Linked DNA regions of Tribolium castaneum. The protein of the gene in region 2 binds, or shares a complex with, the protein of the main gene of each other region. Links are inferred from orthologs where the notes say so. Each region holds a gene or a part of one and is shown on either strand. Other genes may lie near its edges.

Region 1 (7,114 bases), on a different chromosome or scaffold from region 2:
GCAATAGCGGCGCTTGCATGGTGAGTTAATTGATGGCATTCGGTTCTTTGTGAGTGATAAGTTGTTGCAGCCGGTCCTCGAGGATGAGAAGCAGCAAAACGGAACGGTTACGAAGTCCGACAGTAACGGCACTCTTAACAACACTTACATCAAAAGCGAGTATTCCGATTCGTACAAAGCTTGCTACTCGAACGGCAGCACAAACGGCTTTGTGAGCCAAACCGTAATAGAGCGCAACTCGAAGAAGATCAACTAGGTTTTAATTTCAGTGGGTACAAAAGGACTCGACTTTTGTTTAATTGTAGACTTATTTATTAGATAGTGTACGATTTGTTGTCAAAATTTCGTATCTCAGGGCGAAATAATTGGTTTCTTTTTACTTGATGTATTATATAAGTTTTTACGGCTGCAGGGACCATTTTCATTGCGTCAAGTCGCTTGATTTTTTCATTTCATCAGCCATTAGTGCCTGAATTTTTACCACGTTTCTTAGCTTTAGCTTATTGTTAAAGTTTTGCACTTTGAATCGTTGCCGGTTGTTCGTACTTAAGAATGTTTTATTACGTTTTCGTATAATTTATCGGATGTTTTTTATTCAGGGAGTTGCACTCTGCTGCGTAAATTCGGCGGCTCTCTACGTCTTTTCAGATAAGTAAGTGTAATGGAAGCTGTATCACTGTAATTAATGTCGTTTTATTATCATTGTATATAATACATACTACGCGTTTCTTTAGATTTAAAGTTGTATAGTATTTTTGTATATACTTATGAATCTTGAGAAATAAAGTGGAAACCTGCGTTTTGCAAACGGAGTTTCTCTCCCTCTCCTTTCCCCAATCCAAAAAAAATCGCTAAACACAACACGAGAATTGTTTAGAACACGAGCGAACACAGTGAGCACATAAAAATATAAACAACGTATTTAAATTTAAAAAAATATGAAAATAATAAGTTTTTTCCAGCTTCTATTAATAAAATGCTCATTTTACATATTAAATCTTATTATCAATACAATAATTTAATCAAAAGGACAAATAAAATGAATCGAAAGAATGAATTGAATGTTTACAGCAAAACTTTTATTCACACTGTTATTTACAGCACGCACAAAATAAAAAAATTAACATTGTATTCATTGTTTTGTTTCATTTTTCTCTAACTTTTGCCAAAACTATTGTTTTAATAATGTTCATGATCTATTTACAGAAACAGAATTAAACTTTAATCCAGGCGGGTGTCATTTTTATTAATAGGAATTGTAAAAAATGTTGTACGTATAATTTATGTAAATACAAAAATTTTATCCACTCAAAAACTAAACTTTTTTTAAGTGCATAAATTCGTCGTTATTCACATTGTACCATAAGTAATAAGTAATAAGTAATAATTTTAAATTTTCGTAAAAGCTTTAATTTTCAGAAGTATAATTTAAGTTCTGCAAGTATTTTAGAAATAATTCTTGATTTGTTTTTATCAACTTGCTAGTGAGAAACAAGGATTTGTAATAATCCATGCGAGTAAATTAATTGTCTACATCCATGAACAAAAAATTATAGTTTGAACCTCTTTCAAACATATATTATTTTTATTTTTTTTTCTATTAGTATTAGTATTCGAGTTATTAGCATAATAAATTAATATTCTTAGTACTATGCACTCGTATTTATTTTACTATTTTCTGACTTACACTTTTTTTTAATTAAATTATATTTTCTTCCAATAATTTCTCCAAAACGGACCTTTATAAATATTTTGAAAATGTGAAAAAGTACTTATTTTTGGCAACTACTGCACCGTCACCGTTTCTATTCGCAACTCAGGTCGTTAATTAAGCGTGTTCTTCATTTTTTGTACTAAGATTGAGGAAAATTTGCAAACTCTTATCGTCTTATTTTTTGTGCAAAAAAGTGAATACGTAAAGGATTCCATTTCACCGAACACAAAATCTCGAATATTAGCTCCTTTAATATCGATCGAAAGCAAATGCAGATATTTCCAGAATTCGATGACGCATTTATGAACTTTGCCGACCATCAACATACGTAAAACCCAAAATTAACTTTACCCGAATGGATTTCGAGAATTTCGCTAAATAGACATCGTAAAAACTTGCCGAATATTTTAGCACTTTTCGCCTGCTATTTGCCAAATTTTAACCACAGAATCAATTAGCAAATAGACGATTTTTTGCTTACGAAACCGAAAAAAACCAAGTAGTTCACATTTGTATTTTATTCGTAAATTATGTACAAAAATAAAAATTAGAATTCCATCAAGCGGTCCGAATCCGTGAGCACCTCTTGACTATGTTCCGAATTTTCGGGCACTAAGTGGTGACTGCCGATCAAGCAGCCCTTAATCTGACACCCCTTCTCGATCGTCACTCCATCCGAAACTATACAATTCTCCAACGCCACCCTGAAACACAATTGCCACACAGGCCACACAATGGAAACCCACTCACTTCTCCTTAATCGTCACATTATTCATAACAATGCAATTAAAAACCCTCGAAAAACTGCAAACTTCACTGTTAGCCCCAATAACCGAGTTCTTAAACGAGGTTTTCTCGTGCAGTTTGGCTCCCTCCCAAACAACACACTTATCGTCCACTTGGCTCGATTTAATCTCACTTTTGGGGTGTCTGAGGACGAGGCTTAGCCCATTTGTGATTTTGTCCCACCTTTCGCTGACCTGCAACGCACACTCTCAAGGGGGCTCACAACGGGCGAACTACCACGTACTTTGCTATTAACGGCCCAGTACGTCGCTAAAGTGTTGACTCGCACCCCGAACGAGTCTCGGGGGGCTATCAAGGCGTAGCACCGGATGCTATCACCGTGATACGTGGGTTTGGAGTCACCGATATGGTCGTTGTAGGACGAGGACTCCCTTATAATAATACTGAAAGGGTCCTCTTTCGCGTAATTAAAAATGTCCTCGCTGTCGCATTTACTGACTATTGACTTGCCCTCGGCCCCTTTCGGGGGCTTGGAGAGCTGTTTTTTGACAATGTGGGGCAAGAGCTCGCCCTTGATTGTTGTAAAGTTCGGCTGGCTGTTCAAATATTTGACCACCCAGTTTTTCAAAACGTACACGTGCGAGTCGACCAAATTGCTGTACATTTTAACATGAGTGTGTTTCTTGAGCAAAGAGCGCGGTAGCGATAATTCGCTCTCGAAATCGCTCGCGGACGCTAAAAACACCAAACGGTTTGTTTGCGCGTCAATCCCGACCAAATCGCGCTCCGGCTTGTGTTTGGACTTGGGGCCCGGGATTGTTAATTCGCCCCCGTGAGGGTGGAAGAACAAAGACGCGACCGAGGCATCGTGCATTCGGAACACGTCCAAAACGCCTTTTAGGCTAAAATCAGTGATAAAGTCGCACGAAATTACAAGAACGTCGGACTTTAGCCGGTCATGGAGGAGTCTGAGGGAGTCGGCGGTGCCTAAGTCCTCCTTCCCGCTAACGGGGAAGTAGTCGATTTTGATCTCAAGCTCGCTTTTGTCAAGCGTGGCCTGAATCTCGCTTTTGTGATTCTCTAACACGACAAGAATTACGTCTAAAAGTCTGGTAATTATGAGATTTCGAACGGCCAGCGCACGTACCTGTGAAACCGGACTGCTGCAGCTTGTACAAGGGGTACCAAACGAGGGGCTTCGTCCCCACGGGCAGCAGACACTTGGGCTTGCCGGAGGTGATCTCGGGCATGCGGGAGCCCCGGCCGGCCGCCAGGACCACGGCCTGGAACTCGGGCTGAAACATTCTTGCAAAAACACACAAAAATATGTCACAAAACTTTGCAACAAATGTGTGGTTATATCACACCAATGACAGAGGCACCAACATAACAAATTGTTACGCTAAATAAAAATAATTCATTTGAGCCCCTTATAAAACTTTAGCGCATTCCTCAAGACTGAATCGTGAACACGGTCGGAACTTAATACCCGGTGATATTAATTAAGCTCGCAATTACGCTCAAATTGTCTCAGTTTTTGCCACCACGTTGGTGTTACTGTCACACGTCAACTTTGCGCAAAAACTGTTTATTTTGGTCGGGTCGGTTTTTTTGTAAATTTTGGGGCCAACTTGTGTTGAAAACTTTTTTTGTGTGTAATTTAGTGTCTTGTGATGGGGCGCCGCAAGTCGAAGCGAAAACCGGCGCCGAAACGCAAAGCTGTGGAGCCCCTGGACCAGCAGTTCAACTGCCCTTTTTGCAACCACGAAAAATCGTGCGATGTTAAAATGTGATTGTTTTTATAAACCGTTGGGTTTTATGGGGTAATGTGTGTGTTTGTAGGGATAAGGGTCGAAATACGGCCAGGATAACGTGCCGAGTGTGTCTTGAAGACTTCCAAACTACTATCAATTTTTTATCAGAGCCTGTGGATGTGTACAACGATTGGATAGATGCATGTGAATCTGCTAACTGAGGTTTTTATGTAAATGTTTTATTAGGTACAAATAACACTTTTTTATTATATCAGTCTAGGAAAAAATGTATTGAACGAGTGGTTTTAAAAGTAAATAAGTCATATTTAAAAGTTTTTTATTCATCAGATCAATTAACAAGAAATCTTAGACACCTAAAGCGTTATCGTTATTTTATGAGAATAAATATAATTTGTAACAATTGAAACAACTATGAAAATGAATATTTTTGTTACACGTTAATCGAGTGGTCTAATTTTTTTTATTTGAAAGACCCAGTTCTTTTGAACAATTTGTAACATAAAAATTTTGTATCGGTCTCGGTTTTGGAGTGAAAAAATAATTCAAGTCGATGTGTCAAAATTTCAGGCGTTTGCCCATTTAATATTATGGGTGGTGGTAAAAAATGTCTTAAACGAGTGGCTATAAAAAGTAAACAAGTCGTATTTAAAAGTTTTTTATTTATCAGAGCAATTATTAACAAATCTTAGATACCTAAAGCTTTAAAATCGTTATTTTATGAGAATAAATAAATAATTTGTAACAATAGAAACACTCATGAAAATGAATTTGGGTTTAAAACAATATACCAGAAATAAAAGGTACCACAAAGTCCTTGACAGCACTAACAAATGTACAAAAGAATATACGACTAGCCCAAAGCAATAATTAAAGCAATCTAAATGCCGTTTTTATAAATAACTTTCAACTATCTTAGCACTACCTAGTTATACACTTATCCTATAGAAAAAATATCAATCTCTGAATATAGCCAATTTGTCCTATGATTAAAAAATTGTTGAATCTTCCAAGATACTCTTTTTCACCAATACAATACAGATTATAATAGTTCAAATCAGTAGAAAAATATTGTTTTTTATCTAGTTGGAATAATCCGTAAGGAAACCAAGAGCTACTCTAGCACATTTCGCAGAAACCTTGTCAACTTAAACTATGGCGAAGAATGATCCAGTCGGTAAATGAATCAAGGAACACTCAAAGAAAACCAGTTACACATCGCAGTGTATAGCAGCCTTAGCGTGGTGGTTTAGCACTCAAGCAGCATCTAGTAGCACATGAAGAGTTTAAAACAAGCGAGCTCTACGTTTTAGTTCGTTCCTGCGCCATTGGGGTAGTCGGTAGAAGTCGGTCCGCGAGACTTGGAAAATCGCCTCGAACTCGGCGTCCGACAGATGTCGCTACAAAAAATTCCAATCATCTGGTCACAAAATCGGAAAAAGTATTTTACCTCAAGATTGCATCTGTCGACATCAGAAGGCAGTCTGTAATTAGTGATCACAAGCAAGTGGTAAGGGTAGATTTTGGCCGGTTCGTTTATCAGCATCGTGTGGGCCATGTTTGGAAGGGACCGTCGCACTTGTGATGAGTACCCGCCCGGGTAGCGCCCCAGGGCCCCCATGTAAGTCGCCGACACGGGCATTTCGGAATTCTAGCACACAACACAGTTACGAACAAAAACCGAAAACTGCGCCACCACCAATACAACTAACCGGAAAAGCAACAAATTATGCACAGGGGGAGCCCCAAGACAAGCAGAACGCTTCCTTGACTCACCCCCAAAATTTCACCGGAAATATGAACAAAAAATTGTAACAGTTAATTTACTTTTTTTTGCATATCGTGCCTGAATATAAGATGACAAGACTAAATAAAATAGAGACAGAAAACACAAAAACTTAAACCACAGGCTACCACAGTCACTCAAAAATAATTACTTTTAAATTTTTTTAGTTGGTTGTAAGAAACTGTATTTAAACAATTTCGTGGTGAAAAGTTTGGTGAAAATGTGGCTATAAAACTGTTTTGTTGCTGGATGTAACCTCAACCAAAGATTATTTTACCTTGACCCCAAACTAACTAAAGGCAAATAATAAAAAACGAGAAAAAGTGTATTATCACAGAACAAAACGCTTGAAAATTAAGAAGCCGTTATTTGGAGCGTTACACAGAAAAGTTAGATAAAGCATTATTTACATACCAGAGCACGTCTTTCAACATCCGTGATGGATCCAGTGGAAACTGAAGAAAAAGCATTAACTTAACATTCTAGCTTATAAAATATGTATTGGAAAAACTAGCCTAGAATTTCGTTCGGTACAATCGTTTCGATCGATTTCGGACGCAAATCATGCATAATAAGCAATACGGTTTTGAAAAACAACCAAAGAGAAGTAAGCAGCGTATTACTCAAAAAAAATTGTTAAAACTTTTCTCTCGATCCCACCAAAGTCACCCGAGTTTTCGGTGCGTAAAAATTTCAGAAAATGTGTCAAAAAGCCGCTTAAAAGCCAGTTTCTACTGATAAACGATGAAATACTTACTGTCGGATTTTCCACAACTGAAGTCAGTGCTATGGGTTTTTGCACCCATTCCGCTAAACGAATAATCGCCCTGTGAAGGAGGAACGTAATTAAACATCCGAATTTCCCGATTTTCGAGGGATTAGAAACACACAAAACATGCGATGAATAAATACAGGATGACAGGACGACATGACTAAGCTAGAGAACGAGACACGAAAATTTAACCAGTTGAGGGAAAAACATGAAAAACCTTCATATGAAGGGTGAAGCTTTAGACAAATCAAGTGACATGACGAATTCACAAATATCGGGTGTTCGAAAAAATACCAATTTTCTAAACCTTAAGGAAGGAACCA
Region 2 (8,035 bases):
CCGCTGACATGAAGCTTTGTCTTATTAGCACTTTTGTATTTTTTTCATATGTATTTATTACACATTTTCTGCATTCTTTTAATGTTAAACTCATTTTGCTTTCTCAAAATTTGTTTTCATCTTTGGTTTTGTTTCTTTTGTTCTCCTTGATAGTTTTACATTTGCGTCTTAATTACTTTTCATTGTTGTTGTGTTTCTCTTTCTTATTTATTTTTTTCAAAACTAACACACTTCAATCTAAATTTTGACATAAGCTAACACTTAAAATATTTTATATTTGTTTATTGAGAAAAGAATTGGTAGTTATTAAAGAAAGCTACTGTATGTTTCAAATTACGTGTTTTCATTTGTCTTTGAATAAATTTTCTTAAAAAAATGCATTTTTAAGAGAAGAACGTGTTTTCTATTTATAAAATTAGAACAAGGTGACAAATGACATCATCTTTTACCGTATTAGAAGAAAATGTTTCAAAATCTTAAGTGATTTTTAATTAAAAAGAGATTTTTTTTACGTACAAGCCTTTTAGCCTTTTTGAACGAAATTTCATTTTTTGTAGCTTAGATATTTAGGCTAAAAAACTAAGATATGCTTTGTGAATAGGTACTATATTTGGTTCTTTATCTAATGTAGAACTCACGGTTCGACACTGAATTCAGATTCAGGCGTCAAGAAATGCAATTTTGGTTGAATACAGGGTGTATCAGAAATACGTGTTTTAATTTTAACAAATAACAGAGCTCAACAAATAAAACATCTTATCTATTTGTAATTAAAAAAAAAATCGCAAACTTATTTAAACTTTGGAAAAAGATAAGATACTGAAATGTGTACCCGACTATGGGTACAAAAATAAAACACACGAACTATTTTCGTTGTGATACAAAAGGACAATTTGAACAATTTAAAACAACAATAAAAATGTTGCTATGAATACAAACTAATTATAAAAACACTGACCGGCTTGTTTTCACAAAAGAATGAAGGAAAACATTGTAAATTATAAATAAGAATTTTGCAAAACGTTGTATAGAAAAGTAGTTGTATTTGATGAGTTTTATTACGTGGTAAAATTAACACACGTATTTCTGATACACCCTGTATGTACAATGTGTTCAAAAATGGTTGTTCATCAATTTAACTGACATTGAATGTGCCGCTTTTTCTAAATCACTATTGTAGTTTCTCTGTCAAATCTTCGAATTAGTTTTTCTCTCACTTTTTTACATTTTTCGGCAAAGTTATTCCAAGAGTAAGGTTTGTTTAGATTTGTGTTTTATATTTCTGTGATTTTTGTTGTTGTGTTTTCTTTCGTTTTGGGATTCGAAGTCTGCATTATTTTGACAAATCTGTCATTTTGACGGCACTCACAATTTAAATTAAGCGGCACATTACGTTCAAATTTCTTAGGTGACTTGATGAACAACCATTTTTGAACATATTGTATTTAATCGGTGCAACTTGAAAAATAAAATAAAACAAAAAAAACGAATTTAAATTAATTTAAATTTAACACTAAGTCTTTAGGTACAAAAAAGATTTCTATCTCTAGTAGTAGTAGATTCTATCTCCTAGTATTTAGCTCTTCGTAGTTTTTGCATAATTATCTTTTCCAGGGTCATAAAATGGCAGCAAGTCTTGCCAACAGCAACATCCAAACGACTGTAATTCCTGATTCTGGAGTTTTTGCAATGATGTCACGTGTCAATAAAGTTATAATTGGCACTCACAGTGTTATGGCCGATGGAGGTCTCCGTGCCGCAAGTGGAGTTCATGCTATTGCTCTGGCGGCTAAACACTACTCAGTTCCTGTTATGGTTCTCTCTCACATGTATAAATTGACTCCGACCTATGTCTGCTCACATGAAAAAGACACCTTTAATATGTGTGCATCGCCTGCTAATGTTATTCCCTATTCAACTGGACCGCTTTTGAATAAGATTACTGTTTATAATCCGATTTTTGACTACGTTCCACCAGAATTGGTGACGCTTTTTATATCACATCAGTAAGTATTTTTTTTTCAATATTTTGTTGTTTTTTATTATTTATTTATCATTTTACAGTAAGTCAAAAAAATTATACAGAGTGATTTTTTAAGGCCTACATGAGAAACTTTTTAAATTCTAACAAAGCTAGAGCTTTAAAATTTTGTATACAGTCCAAATCGACCATTCTGAGTTCAACTAAATTATTTTCAAAATGCCTGAACTTCCGACACTACACAAAATTGGCGTCAAGTTTAAAAAAAATACCGGGTGACTTTTAAAGATTGTGATTCTTGTCGTCCGGTTGGTAAGAAATTTGAAATCTTAATTTGGCAACTTTCACTATCGAATTTCAATGTCAATATTGTATATATTTAATGTCATTAATTTCCGACTGGCGATCGCCGGCATGACAGTCAGGTGAAACTTTGGTGGAACAGCTCTATATAACAAGCTAGCAGGGAGGCCAATAATTCAATGTTACCAATAGATTTTTTAGAAGAAAACAATACAAAATGCAAACAATTCAGTCAAAAATACCGCTGTTTTTATTACAAAATAATGCAAATTAGTAGTGAACTGAGTGTGGTTCATTTAGTGTCTGGAAGACAACCGAATAGATGCACCCACGTAGTAATTGTGCACTTTTAAGAATCTTAATGTCTTTATTCGGAATTTGGTGTGATACACGTACCGAATGGAACAAATAATCAGGTAATGATTAATGATTTTTTTTGTGAATTTTTGGTGAATTAATCAATGAAAAATGCTATCAGATTAGTTTAAATTTATTGTAGGTTATGTTAAAGGACTGAAACTAAACTCTTTTATTAAATATTTTCAATTTAGAGTCCTAAATTATCCAGAGTTAAAGTTGGCAAGTGCCTGACAGGGTCTTGAGTGCAGATGCACTTTTGTTGCTACGGATATCGCCTGCTCAAAATTCATACTTTTTTGATTTTGGTCAGGTGCAAGCCTCTGTTTAAATTAACTATTAAATGGTGTATTTTAGCGATGTAAAAGATTATACCTTTTTTATTCACAATTGATTACTCTATCGATTTAGGCAATAAAAAAGTAGTGTTAAAAGGGCAAAAAATTAAAAAACAAAAAATGTGACCCGGAAATGCTGCAACCGGAAACGGGATGGATGTATCCAGTTTTCGTAATTACCAGATTAAAAGGCATGTTTTCTTTAGTAAGTCTACCAAGTTTCGTAATATTTGGTCAAATGGTTCCAAAGTTATGGTACAAAAACCTCTTTCCATACCCCTACTTCCCAGCGCTGTAAAATTCTTATTACTTATTAGTTTCGATAGGACACGCGGTATAATCTCAATCGGCTCATTTTATAGGTCCTTTTAGAGGTTCATTTATTGTCTCATATACGAATAAACCTATATGGGGATTTTTTATTGACACGTCCTATACCTCTTATACAGTTTTTGAAACAAAAAACGGATTTTACTTCGTAATTTTTTAAGTAGATCCTGCAAAATGGTCAACAATTATCAAACTTCAACATTTTATTTAGTTTTTAGCTTGTTTATTACAGAATAAGCAACAAAACAATAATATTTAATTATGGTTTATGCTAACTTAGTGAATTATGTAAAGTAACTCAGTCTAACATTTCTTTTAATCAATGACATAATTTGATCGTATTTTTCGAAAGTTTATTCGATTAAAAATCAAAATAATGAGCTAAAATTCGTTTTTTGCGATTATTTCAAAAACTAAAGAGATAGATATAGAAGATATTAATAAAAGTCTGCATAAAAATTGATGTTCTTTAGATTACCATTGAAAAAACAGGGTCATTGCATTTGAAAAAACCGTGTTATAATATTTTTTTAATAATCATTGTCATAATATTTTATTTTCATAGTACCAAGTGAAGTATGTATACAGAGTGTATTATAAATACGTGTGTTAATTTTACCACGTAATAAAACTCATCAAATAAAACAACTTTTCTATATAACATTTTGCAAAATTCTTATTTATTATTTTTACGAGCCGGTCAGTGTTTAATAATGAGTTTGTATTCTTAGCAAAAATTTTCATTGTTGTTTTAAATTGTTCATATTGTCCGATTCTGTCACAACGAAAATAGTTTCCCATTTTTATTTTTGTACCCATAGGCAGGTACACGTACCGATATGTGCTTTTTTTCAAATTTTTACTTGAAATTGTCGAAACTTTAGTGAAAAATTACAAATAAAAAAAAATGTTTTATTTGTTGACCTCTGTTACCTGTTAATTTTAACACACGTATTCCTCATACACCCTGTATTTTGACAATGTCGAAGAATAAATGAGATTTTTTTCTCCCAAATTGTACCAAAAAATAGTGTACGTTTTTAAAGTAAAAAAAAACTTTTTTAGAAAAAAACTACGAAATTTTAGGAAATGAAATGAAAAAGTTTTGGACATAATTTGGTGATATTTTAGGTCCATTTTAGCGAAAGGCAACGAAAAACTGATTTTGTGGATACAAAACTAAAGGGTGTAACGAAAAGATGGAGATAACATAGAACCAAAAATTCCTCAGCTCAAAATAGAGCGATTAAGCCCAACTTACCTCTACAGCGTGCTCAAAAACTGACGCACCAACTCAATGGTGTGTGGTAGAGAACTGGTTATATACAAAGGTAAAAATAGTAAAAAAATTCTTTGTATTAAAGTTATTGATAAATAACGGATTTTAGATAAATGATATGTGGCAACGTTGTCTAACAGTCATGATCGCAATAGAATTTGATCAATTCGGAAATAAAATTAACTAGACGCCCTCTGGTGATGACTTTTGAACTATGCCGAAAACAGTAACGAAATTTTCGTAATTCCATATTTAATTGACATCTAATAAATTGTTTAACAATTTTGCGTGTATAGTGTTAATTGCTTACATTAGAGAGAATCACTTTAAAAGTACGTGGTGGTAAATACTAGCTTTGACTTTGGTTCTGCGTTTTTTCGTGGTATAAAGTGTTTATTGTTGGAATTTGAAAGTGAATAAAAAGTGAAAAAGATTTAAATTTTCATTATAAAGTATTATCAAAGTGTTATAATTAAAGACTATAAGTAATGGATCACAGCGAACACAAAGTTGGGCTCAAGAAACCAATGAATTAGTGAATTTTGTGAATTTTAGGTTAGAATTTTTCTATTGATAAAATCATGAAATACTTCGATAAATCAACAAAACTACAATTCAGATTAACAACTGTTAATACACTTAAAGATAAATTATGCCAAAAGATAGGCTTTTCAATGTCTTTGTAATAATTTTCCAATAAAGAAAGTGAACCAAACAGTCATTCGTTATTCGCGTTTTTCTCGTCATCTCTAATTTGTCAACATTCGTATCTTCCACCAAAGATACAATAGTCATTCCGCATTGGCAATGTAATAATTATGAAGCCTCAAAATTCGTACAACGCTCAAAATATCCGAATAAACATTTTCCCGCCATTTATGGTTACTGTTTTCGACCTAGCTCAGTGGCGCCCCCAACGGTAACTTTACTTCCGAATAATAAAAATAAATTATTTTTGAAACGGTTTCCTAGGAAATAATTCCCAGTGTTGGCACATCTACACATTGTGATTTTTTTGATGAATTTTAATGCTAAAGTCTGATAGAAAATTTGAAAATAATTATTCATCGTTTTGTTAGAGAACGACTACCTTGTGTGAAGCATAAAAACATTAAAAAATAACGAAAACTAAAAAAGTTAACACAATAAGTTTGTAGCTTCAGATTTTTTAAAAATGACTTTAGGAATTTTTTCAACATTTTTACAAGTTGCATCGTTTAAAAGTTAGAGGGCTCCAATTTCAAAAATTATTTTCGATTTTATTTAATAACTTTTTAATGGAATAATTTAATGATATTTCATTTAGAAGTTACTAATAAAGAACAAAAATAATTTTTTAACTTTGGCGCCTTCTAACTTTTAAACGGTGACACTTGGTATAGAGGTAAATTGGGTTAAATCGTTTTACTTTGACTTGGAGAATATCTGGTTCCGTTTTGTCCCCATCTTTTCGTTACACCATGTATAAACGAAACGTCAAACCCGTTTTTTTATTTAAAACTTCTTAAGGAAGTTGGTTCGTCGTCAAATTTTATTACAATCAAAAGTGATAATATTGGTTCACCCTTTATTACTATGTTGTTTTTTTTAGGGGTGGCAACGCACCATCTTACGTCTACCGTCTCCTCTCCGAATTGTACCACCCTGACGACTACGAACTTTGAAACCAATTAAATAAAACCATAAATTTTATCAAAACTTTTATTTTTCACCATTACTTTACAAAAATTACGCTTATATTGGCTTAATCTTAAAATGCATTCCAATCAAAGAAAACACCAAACACTTTAAATCCTGCACCAAATAATAAAAGCAGCGCAGTCCTTCGGGATCCTTCGACTGACTCACATCGACCAAAGACCCAGTTTTCGAGGTAGTAAACGAAATGTGTTCATCATTGATCACAATCTCAAGCTCCTGACGACCGATTCTATCCGGTGGCGGCCACAACGAATCGTCTTCTTGCATTATCTCCGAATCGATAATAATCCTCTTGAGCTCCTCCATCACGCACTGATGCACATAAACCTCCTTACGGATCATTGTGTCGTTCTTGTAGTTGGAATTATTGGCGTAACGCAATTTACCATCGGGACGGAACTCAAACTCGAGAAACTCATGCCCAAATTTACCTTTGTGGCCCACGTAGTAACGTATGTAAAAATCGGCAGACATTCTAACGGAATTTAGGGAAGCCGCTTGGAACGTTTGTGGGGTTAGGGATCACTTCTGTCAAATTTGTGACAGCGTTAGTGTTGCCAACACAACAGACAAAATCACCAGGACGGCGCGCTGAAAATTTAATTTGGGAAGTAAAAACGCGTCCAGATCTAGAAAAATTCACGTCTAGAATTTGTCATCAACAGAAAATAAAATGACAAAACTGTATTAGCTGTTTCAGAACTATAAAAACGCCAACGTCGCACTTTACCGAATTATTTTTTTAAATAAGTTTCATAAAATTGTAAAATAGTTATTAATGCATAGATCTCTCATTAAAAGTATAAATTGCATTAGCTGCTATTTTTTTTTGAAGTGCATGAATAATTTATAATAGCGAATTTTGAGAGAAAATGCGATCTTGACGTTTTTATAGTTTTGAAACAGCTAATACATCTTAGAAACAGAAGGCAAAATCGGACAAATCTAGAAACATACACAAGCAGAATCGGACAAAACTAGAAACATACATAACAGAACAGTATTGACCTAAAAAAAATACATTATCAGCAACGTATTTCACGTATTTGTTTAGAAAAATACTTCATTAGAAACGTACAACGCAGAACCGTACCAAACAGAAAAGTGGTGGGGGGAATCAAACTCAGAATTAGAAGCTTGCTCAACAGAGGGTGCTGTTATAGGTGGACATGGCTTCATAGATATAGCCATATTTGTTGACTTTGAGGGTTACAACATTTGCCACCATGTTCATGCGTTGCGTGTGCTTGATTCTGATTGGATGTTATTGTTTGGGTTCAACCATGGTTACTGGTTAGTAGAGACATGGTAGTTAGTAGATCTGGATAAACAATACACACTAATGCTTTTAGGGTCTACATTAGAAACTTTTCGACTTCTGATTTTGTATACAATCCAAATCGACCATTCTGAGTTCAACTAAATTAGTATTTTTAAACTGGCTGATTTTCCGGAACTACGAGAAATTATCATATGTCAATTTTTTTTATATAAATTTTGATTTGCAGGGGTTCATTTGAAATATCACAGCTCGTGAACCCTTTATAATAAGTGAATAATTCTTTTTGCATTTGATAGCCAAAGGTTTGAAAGATCTTCTAAAATCTTCTGTATTGTCAACCGTAAAACTGCCTTACTTTACATAATTCACAAAATTATAATGAAACATAATTAAATATTATTGTTTTACTGCTTATTTGATAATGAACCAGCTAAAAATTAAATAAGTTTGACAATTGTTGACCA

What was found. Proteins that work in one complex are often made in the same cells at the same time.
Region 1: eIF2Bbeta (region 2) and eIF2Bgamma share a complex: the UniProt entries of both Homo sapiens proteins name them as parts of the translation initiation factor 2B (eIF2B) complex. The link is inferred for Tribolium castaneum from reciprocal best matches to the Homo sapiens genes EIF2B2 and EIF2B3.

Annotation. Positions count from the first base shown.
Region 1 is NC_087395.1:21,889,193-21,896,306, reverse strand, and holds eIF2Bgamma (translation initiation factor eIF2B subunit gamma), read right to left. Parts: upstream 3,905-7,114; 5' UTR 3,766-3,904; coding exon 3,609-3,765; intron 3,563-3,608; coding exon 2,745-3,562; intron 2,695-2,744; coding exon 2,465-2,694; intron 2,419-2,464; coding exon 2,262-2,418; 3' UTR 2,218-2,261; downstream 1-2,217. Other genes in the region: very long chain fatty acid elongase AAEL008004, read left to right, coding at 1-20, 71-256; transcription elongation factor 1 homolog, read left to right, coding at 4,135-4,250, 4,304-4,436; Unc-115a (actin-binding LIM protein 3), read right to left, coding at 5,520-5,633, 5,684-5,884, 6,434-6,474, 6,777-6,846. UniProt on the Homo sapiens protein: Acts as a component of the translation initiation factor 2B (eIF2B) complex, which catalyzes the exchange of GDP for GTP on the eukaryotic initiation factor 2 (eIF2) complex gamma subunit.
Region 2 is NC_087400.1:16,452,690-16,460,724, forward strand, and holds the end of eIF2Bbeta (translation initiation factor eIF2B subunit beta), read left to right. Parts: intron 1-1,614; coding exon 1,615-2,006; intron 2,007-6,179; coding exon 6,180-6,252; 3' UTR 6,253-6,286; downstream 6,287-8,035. Other genes in the region: protein mago nashi, read right to left, coding at 6,323-6,763. UniProt on the Homo sapiens protein: Acts as a component of the translation initiation factor 2B (eIF2B) complex, which catalyzes the exchange of GDP for GTP on eukaryotic initiation factor 2 (eIF2) gamma subunit.